2 linked regions of the Caenorhabditis elegans genome follow. The protein of the gene in region 2 purifies or fractionates together with the protein of the main gene of each other region. This does not show direct contact. Each region holds a gene or a part of one and is shown on either strand. Other genes may lie near its edges.

Region 1 (3,148 bases), on a different chromosome or scaffold from region 2:
TCGAACGGAGCTAGGAACAAGGGAAAACCTTTTCTCGGGGGAGCGCAGCGACCCGAGAATGGGATGTTTTCCCGTGACAGCGGAGTGAGAGAGACAGTAGCAAACTAAAGGCGCAGGCATTTTCCTCCGGCACGGGTCTCGCCGCGACAAGCGCCCCGCGGGCGCTGCGGCGCCTGTTTCTCCTCATTCTACGTGTGCAATCCTTAAAATCCATACCGACGATCCTCAACTTTTTACATTAAAACCAATATCCTTGTTTCTAAATTCTCAATTAATTTACACTTTTATTGCTGTAAAACAAAACAAAACAAAAAACTCAAAACAACTATTTTCTGAGATCGAAATTAGGACGTCACTTGTCCGGGATGCTTGTCGGGACGATTTTTTCGAACGAGAAATTTCATTTTCCGGTTCATGTCCTCGTTGAAAATCGCCGTTGATGCTTCCATCGACAGTGTTTTTCGTTGCATGTAGGGCTTCTGATAGAATTGAGTGCGGCGAATGATTTTCAGCATTCCTTCTGAATCCATCAATCTGAAATTATTTCAATCTTGAAATTATGTTCTGGGAATTTTTCCAAAGAAAACCTGTTAAGAAGTCCGAAAGCTCCATCGACATCATTGTTCTGCACCATTACTGTTCGAGTTGCGAATCTTGGATGTGAATTCCAAATTCCTTTGAAAAGTTTAATCGCGAACGGCTGAGAAATCGTTCCTCTCCAGGTGAATTGACGTACCATCTTTAAAACAATTATCAAAAAAATTCTAAATGAAAAACCGAATCGAACATTTATCTTTCATGGATGGATAAACCACATTTGACAGCGAATAAAATTGAGAAAAAGCGAAGAGAAAACAAGAATCGATTTATTGTTGTTCTCAAAAGTCTACACAATGGCTCGTGGCATAATATTACTTCTACTGTCTGCGGGCGGCAACACGGGCGTCAATCTCTTCTTGGACTTCTGGGGAGAGAGCATTATCCGGTCTTGGGCGAAGACTATCAAGTCTGAAGAGGACGGAAGTTGGGTATGCCATGAAAGCGACGCAGATGAGTCCGTAAAGGGCAACCTGAAAAAATTGGTGTTATAGTGAATAATATGGATATCTGGATAAATATGTTTTTGAGCAGCTAAATTAAAAGTGAGACAAATTTCAAAACTGTATCTTTTAGTTCAGAAATTAATTTTTCAAATCCATTCAAACGAATGTACAAACTGAAATTTAGTTTTTTTTGGTGAGCTAGTGGTATTTTAAGTTTTACTGCTCACAAGGATAAGTTCAAGACATTTAGCAAATAAAAAATTACCTTCTCGCTGACAGAGGTGAAACGGAGTGGTGGGGTCGAGTCAACTCCCTTGTGAAGCGAGCGACGGATGACATGTTGGCTTCTAGCCAAGGAGAGCACAGCACGGTTCAGCATCCTGCAATAAATCGTTTAAATTTACAGAGTAATTGAGCAAGCATGATAATCCATAGAAAACGAAACAGAGAATACGATTCAGGCGGTTATAAAAACAGAAACTATACGAAAATCGTTAATTCTACACAATGAATCAAAAAATTATTTGATTTTGCTAATGGATGAAGCTTGAAAGCTGAAAAATAGTAAAAATCTGCTTAAAAAATAATCGGCAGGCTGTGAGAGGTTAAAGGCGCAGAGACGGCTGACGGAAAACAAAAACAATCGTTGCGAGACCAGCCGCTTGGCTACGTGCCAAGTGTGAGAATACGGAAGGTGAGAAAGACGGAGACACTGCGAAGCGAGTGAACGGTGAATGCGAGACACCAAAACCCGGAAGTGGACAGGCAGAAATTGATTTTCTCGTTAAAAATTTTTTGTATTCAGAATTGCAATCAATTCAACTAATCAATATTGATATTTTCATCTTAAAGTTTATCTACTAATTAGTATTTAATCCCACAAACTCGTAAATTTCATCGCGACTCACGTTCCCCCGTTTCGCAGTGTCTCTTGTTTCGCATGCTGCGTCTCGTTTCTCTTCTTCTTCACATCTCCTCGAGGCTTACAGTTTTTTCAGCATATATTTCAGTTTTCCATCATTTTTCTGGAGTTTTTTATTGAAAAATGTTGTAACAGAAATAAATTTAAACATTTCGAAGCTATTTTCATGTTATTTTGTCCGTTGTTTCCCTTTCAATCGACTATTCGTTGAAGTTTTCGAGTTTTCCGTTAAAAATCGTTGTTTTCCAGAATCTACACATTCCAAATGGATGGTAATGATATAAATATACAAAAAAACGAGTTTTCTCGAGACCAATCAGCACTTCTAATGATGGATCAGCATTCCGACCATAAGAATCACGAATCGGCAATCGGCGAGCCAGGAATGTCATACACAGCCTCTCAACCGGCTCTTTCCTCTACTGAGCATCAAACGCCATTAGTTTCTGTACGATTTTTTATTTTTCTGCGATTATTCAATGATATTGATTACAGGAAGCAAGCGTCGCAGCTCCTCAAAATCATTTGAATGGCAATTCCCATGAATCGGTTTCCGAAATGGATAGAGTAAGTGTTTTATTCATTTAAAATTTTAAAAAAAGTCTCATCTCAGAATTCGGTTGATTTTGCGATAGAATCAGTGCTCATGAAAGTGAGTGTAACCTCCGATTTCACTGAACTTCCTCCATTTCTCAACGTAATTTTCCAGGCGAGAGCTTACAACAAGATGGGCGCTCCAAAAGATCCGAGGAGAAAGCAGCACAATCCGAAGAGCGAGCCTAAAATCGAGCCACATGTGACAGATTCATCGGATAATCAGGCTGCAATGAGCAACAAGATGGAAGCGGAAGCGCCGAAGATGGAGTCAAATCAGAACTACGTCAGCAACGGATCTGAGGTATGGTTTATTCTGAAATGTGGAAGATTATTTTCATTCAAAAAAAATTTATTTATAAATTTATAAATTTTTGAAAAAATTCAAATTTCCCGTGGCAATATCATACTGAACTTTTAAATGAAGAAAAAAAATTAATTGATAAATATCATCAAATTTTATTCCAGCCTCCATTCCGTTTCGTTTCAATTTCGAATTTCGACGAAATGAAAACAAAAAAGAAAGAAGTTCAAGAAGAATTGAAGCTTGAGGTGGACTCGGACAGTGAAGAAGATGATGTCCCAGAGC
Region 2 (4,530 bases):
ATTGGATATACGAATAACGAATATAGTTTCAAAATTTGATGGCCACCGTTATCAGCTGCAAGAAATTTTTGTGTGAACTGTGCAGCCTGGAAAATGTGTTTTATTCTCCAATTAAATTTTTAGTAATAAAAGTATGCTCCACTCAGCCATTATGATGAGATAATATCGAAAATTGAAATTAATATTTTCAGCTTACGAAATTGGAATCGTGAATGTTGAATCAGAAGCCGAACTTGATTCGGCAAGAGTTCTCATTCAGAGACTTCTCGTTGAGCACAACTCCCTTCCCTATGAGCCTGACAAGAATTGGAGATTTTTGGATTGTAAGTTTTTATTCAAAAAAATTTTCAACATAAAAATTGACCAAAAATGTACCCTAGACACTTTAGATAATTTGGAATTTTTAATAATTTTTTTGGAAAATTGCAAAACATTCCAAAGGTTTTGTCTTTCAAAATTGTACTGTGACATTTTTTTCACTTGAAGGGTTTTTATTTTTTCAGATGTTTCAAATGCAGAAGAAGGAACATTTCGAGTTTCTCGTCAACAAGAACATGTACAAAGTGTTAGTGATGTGTGTAATACAGATGAATGTCTTTTGATTCTTGATCATGCTTTTCCTTCAATAACTGATCGGGAAGCGGTCGAGTTATTTCAACCACAACAACCTATTCCGTGAGCTTTTTAAGAATTATTTTTTAATTTGAAAAATCTTGAATTTCAGATCTACTTCAACAAGTGCCGCTCCCCGTTACCATAACTCCCGCCGAATATCTGAGACTCTTCGAATTGTTTTGAGCTCTGACGCTCAAGAAACTCATTTGTAGGATTACAAGAAACACTTTTATTTTGCCATTTTTTCATGTGCTAAATCTGATTGTATTTTGATATTTCCCAAGTTTTTTTAAATTTTTAACTTTTTGTTCAAATCAATTGCCGAAGATTGTTAAAAATTTCAGCAATTGGCTCATTTTTTAGGTGAAATGATTTATAATCAAAATTATTTTACATCGAGATCTCGTAGTGGATTTTTTCTGGTTTTTTTTTTCTGAAATCTTTATTTAAAAATTCTTGAATTTTTTAACTTTCCAGAGTCATTGGAAAAGCGTCGTACATTGTATATTACAACCGAATGATTTTTGTGATAAATTTATTTTATTGATTGCGAATTTATATTAATTTTGTGGTTTACATACATGCTTGAGACAATCAAAAAAGTATTCAACAAGAAGACAAAGCGTAATTATCTCCAGACATTTTGAGAACAACATCGATCAATATACTTGATACTTTCATCAATCATTAACTTAACTGATTCCAGTACTGCACTCATTGCCACGTTTCCGAAACCATGAGTCATCTGGAAATTAAAAAATGTTTTATGGATTCGCTAATTTTGAATTTTAACAGTACCAGCGTAAAATGTGATAAATGCTGTTGTACAGAAGGATCAATCGGAAGCATATTTCTAGGAAAATATGGAGTAAGAGGTGTACGGTCACAGGAGAGAAGTTCAGCGAGCTCTCCAACAACTTTCCTGCTCATTTCCAGTGCAGTTCTCCGCTTTACAACGTCCGGATCGATTGCTAGAGAGGTTTTTGTCAAGTAGATTCCAATTTCTCGGGAATGAAATTCCTTTTCACATACGAGAGCAAACTCTTTTGCCATGTGAATTGCTTCTTCTGGAATTCAACAAATTTACATGACAAGTACGAGCGTTATGGAGCGTTAATAGAACTTAAATTCAGGATTCTTAAAGAGACATTTTGGTAAGTATTAGTTGGAATTGTAATTTTAAGGACCTAAGAATTTATATCGTCACCAACCCTACCCCATTCCCCAAAACTCTTAACAAACCTTCAACTAAAGCCGTCCAAGCTGTAACATTTGCTTGCTTCCTTCTACCAGCAGGAAGAGTCAAACCAAGTTTCTTGAGAGAATCCCTCAATGTTTTCCCACCGTCCTTTGACTTAGCCCTGCAACCTCACAACTTATTACTATTATTTATTATTCTTCTTTCTTACTTTCTCAAAATACCACCAAGAAGAGACGCATTTAAGCATTCTGGCGGGCTGATGCGTCTTTGTATTTCTGCTACAGTAACCCGATATTTAGTTGTAGAGCTTAAGAGACTTGTGCGTCCTGGAACAGTGCAGTAGACTTCACCAACAATTTCAAGGGGAGATTGACAGTCAGAAGCAAAGAAAACGAATGGACGATCCTGTTTTGTGGCAACTTGACCTTAATATTAACATACAGTACTTAAGATTTTATAGGATTTTATACTGTAATTAGATGAGTGATCTCTATCTTCTGATTTAGGAATACAGTAATCTTCCTCTCCACTTCCTCCAGTCCCTTGTTGTTGCTGTTGTTGTGGGGGAGTAACATTGAAGAACTGTTGTGAATTGCTCACTGGAAACTCTCTTGCATATGTAAAAGTGCTGACTCCACAAACTGGAGGTTGAATAAGATGTGGAGGATACGGTATATCATAATGACACGAGATATGCATATGGGAAGGAGCAAATGTGCGCATATTCTCGTACTGCAAAAATAAAATATACTGAAGAGGAATAAAAAGGGCGGAGCCTACAAATGGTGGTCTTTGGGAAGATTGTCGTTGTTGCTCTTCTTCATCTTCTTCGTCACATTGAGATCCACGAACGAATTCGTCATCAGAACATTCCATGAGTTTACGGTTGAACATTCTGCAGTATCTGCATTTTTTTGGGTCTAAAAGTGAAGGATGCCAAAGTAACAAGAGTGTTAACACATTTTCAAACCAGAAAAATTAAGAAAATTGTAAAATTTCTGATCAAGAATGTTTGAATCTTTTGACTGTATCTTGACTATTTATTTTTGTTTCGGTGTTTCCGTTTACATTTTTCAAAAAATGTGACCCAACAGATGAAATTAAGACACAAAAGCACATAAAATATAACCCTAGAATGAAATTTATTTGATGAAGTGAAACTTGATTATCTGATAGTTTCTCATCAAACTTTCATAGCTGAACAATAAACAAAAAATCAAAATTAAAAAGTAGAATATTCTTCTAACTTAAAAGTAGTGAGCAGAATGAATGATGGGTAGAAAATCAAATGAAGGAGGAGGTGGACATAGGGCGGGAAAATGAATTTTATTAAATGTGAGAGCTTATGATGAGCATGAGAGAGCATCGGATTTACTCCATCACTTGCCACTTAGGATTACTGTAACTCTAAACAGAGGAAAGCTTATTGGAAAATATGGACAGAAGAAAGAAGAAACCTATTTTTGTTCAGAATATAAAAGTAAATATTTGGGCAGAATGAGTCGCAGTATTCCTGAAAACATAGATTATTTTACTGTAGGCAACACTGTTCAATATATGCCAAAATAGGCAGGAAATTGGAGAAAAATTAAAAAAAAAACTGGAGGAGTTGAAGTCTATGCCAGAGTTTCTGCTCGCTACTTAACTTTTTATTACGGATACTATAATTGTAAGATTTAAAGCGCAATTTAAACATGAAGTATATTCATTCTGTGAACAATTCACAGTACAACTTCGCATACTCAAGGCTGCTGTTTTTCAAAACCAAAAAATCTATTGTCTCTTAATTTCAAAACCGTTGGTAGTATCAAAATGAAATTTATGCTACAAATGGTTGTTAACCTAGAATTCATTTCGAAATTGCGTTTTCCGGGCTCCTGTCAATGTTTGTGTTTGCTTTTTTTGAAAACCCAATAAAAAACCAATAAGTTGATGAACTAGAACATACCATACTAGTTGATGCTAGTTATCTACTTGAAACATAGGACACTGACTCCAGACTTCTTGGTACCTTCAAGTCCTGCAAATCCCACAGGTTTAAGCTTCAACTTTGTTAATAAACCTGTAAACCTATGTTTACATTCTATTTCAAGTGTGACAATACCATAAGTACCATCTGAATATACCCAGTTTAATTTGTTGACAGCAATTTCAATATGCCATTTCTAATATCTTCTATGTTCTCCAGTTAATTATTCAAATCTTTAAAACAAGATTAATTTCGCGGGATTACTCTATCCTTCCCCTCCCTCTCAAAGTGGTCTAGGGTTGGCGCGTTTCTCGTACGCATTGCATCGCAAAATGCGTCAAGGGCACACATGGTGCATATGTTTCTTGCAAGACATGTGCAATAGGTTTTTTATTCATATCGATTTAAACCTGCATTTGCTTTTATGTTCATATATTCATTAAGTCGTATGAAACGATAAGATTTTTATGAAACTTTTTTTTCTCTCGAGTAATAGTTGTCTTTCAGAGGATGACCGACAATCGGACTTCCTTTCGCTTGGAAATACTGAATCGATTGTGCAAACGAGAACGCCAGCAAAGATGTGTGAAAGACATGTTCAAAAATTATTCGTTATTGGATGAACAATTGCAACAATCACACCGATCGAGATCTGTTTCTGTAAACGATGAGCACTTTAAAGGAAATGTAAACGATCGATTAGCTGTTATGAAAGAAGAAATGGCAAATGTATACAGAATGAAAA

The links. The genes of interacting proteins can lie anywhere in the genome.
Region 1: the proteins of aptf-1 (region 2) and F29B9.11 fractionate together in Caenorhabditis elegans (co-fractionation; one large-scale study listed by BioGRID). This does not show direct contact.

What each region holds. Positions count from the first base shown.
Region 1 is NC_003282.8:4,658,779-4,661,926, forward strand, and holds F29B9.11 (Cytochrome c oxidase polypeptide VIIc), read right to left. Parts: upstream 1,424-3,148; 5' UTR 1,423-1,423; coding exon 1,309-1,422; intron 1,071-1,308; coding exon 918-1,070; 3' UTR 853-917; downstream 1-852. Other genes in the region: mrps-21 (Mitochondrial Ribosomal Protein, Small), read right to left, coding at 345-534, 588-739; jmjd-1.2 (JmjC domain-containing protein), read left to right, coding at 2,231-2,413, 2,461-2,532, 2,579-2,863, 3,028-3,148.
Region 2 is NC_003280.10:6,453,154-6,457,683, reverse strand, and holds aptf-1 (Transcription factor aptf-1), read right to left. Parts: upstream 2,714-4,530; 5' UTR 2,711-2,713; coding exon 2,597-2,710; intron 2,549-2,596; coding exon 2,287-2,548; intron 2,242-2,286; coding exon 2,025-2,241; intron 1,977-2,024; coding exon 1,858-1,976; intron 1,683-1,857; coding exon 1,414-1,682; intron 1,361-1,413; coding exon 1,244-1,360; 3' UTR 1,138-1,243; downstream 1-1,137. Other genes in the region: dgk-5 (Diacylglycerol kinase), read left to right, coding at 192-323, 504-675, 725-827; atg-16.2 (Autophagic-related protein 16.2), read left to right, coding at 4,296-4,530. UniProt on the Caenorhabditis elegans protein: Transcription factor, which is required in the single sleep-active ring interneuron RIS for sleep-like behavioral quiescence induced by neuropeptide signaling in larvae. Regulates gene expression of sleep-inducing FMRFamide-like neuropeptide flp-11 in RIS.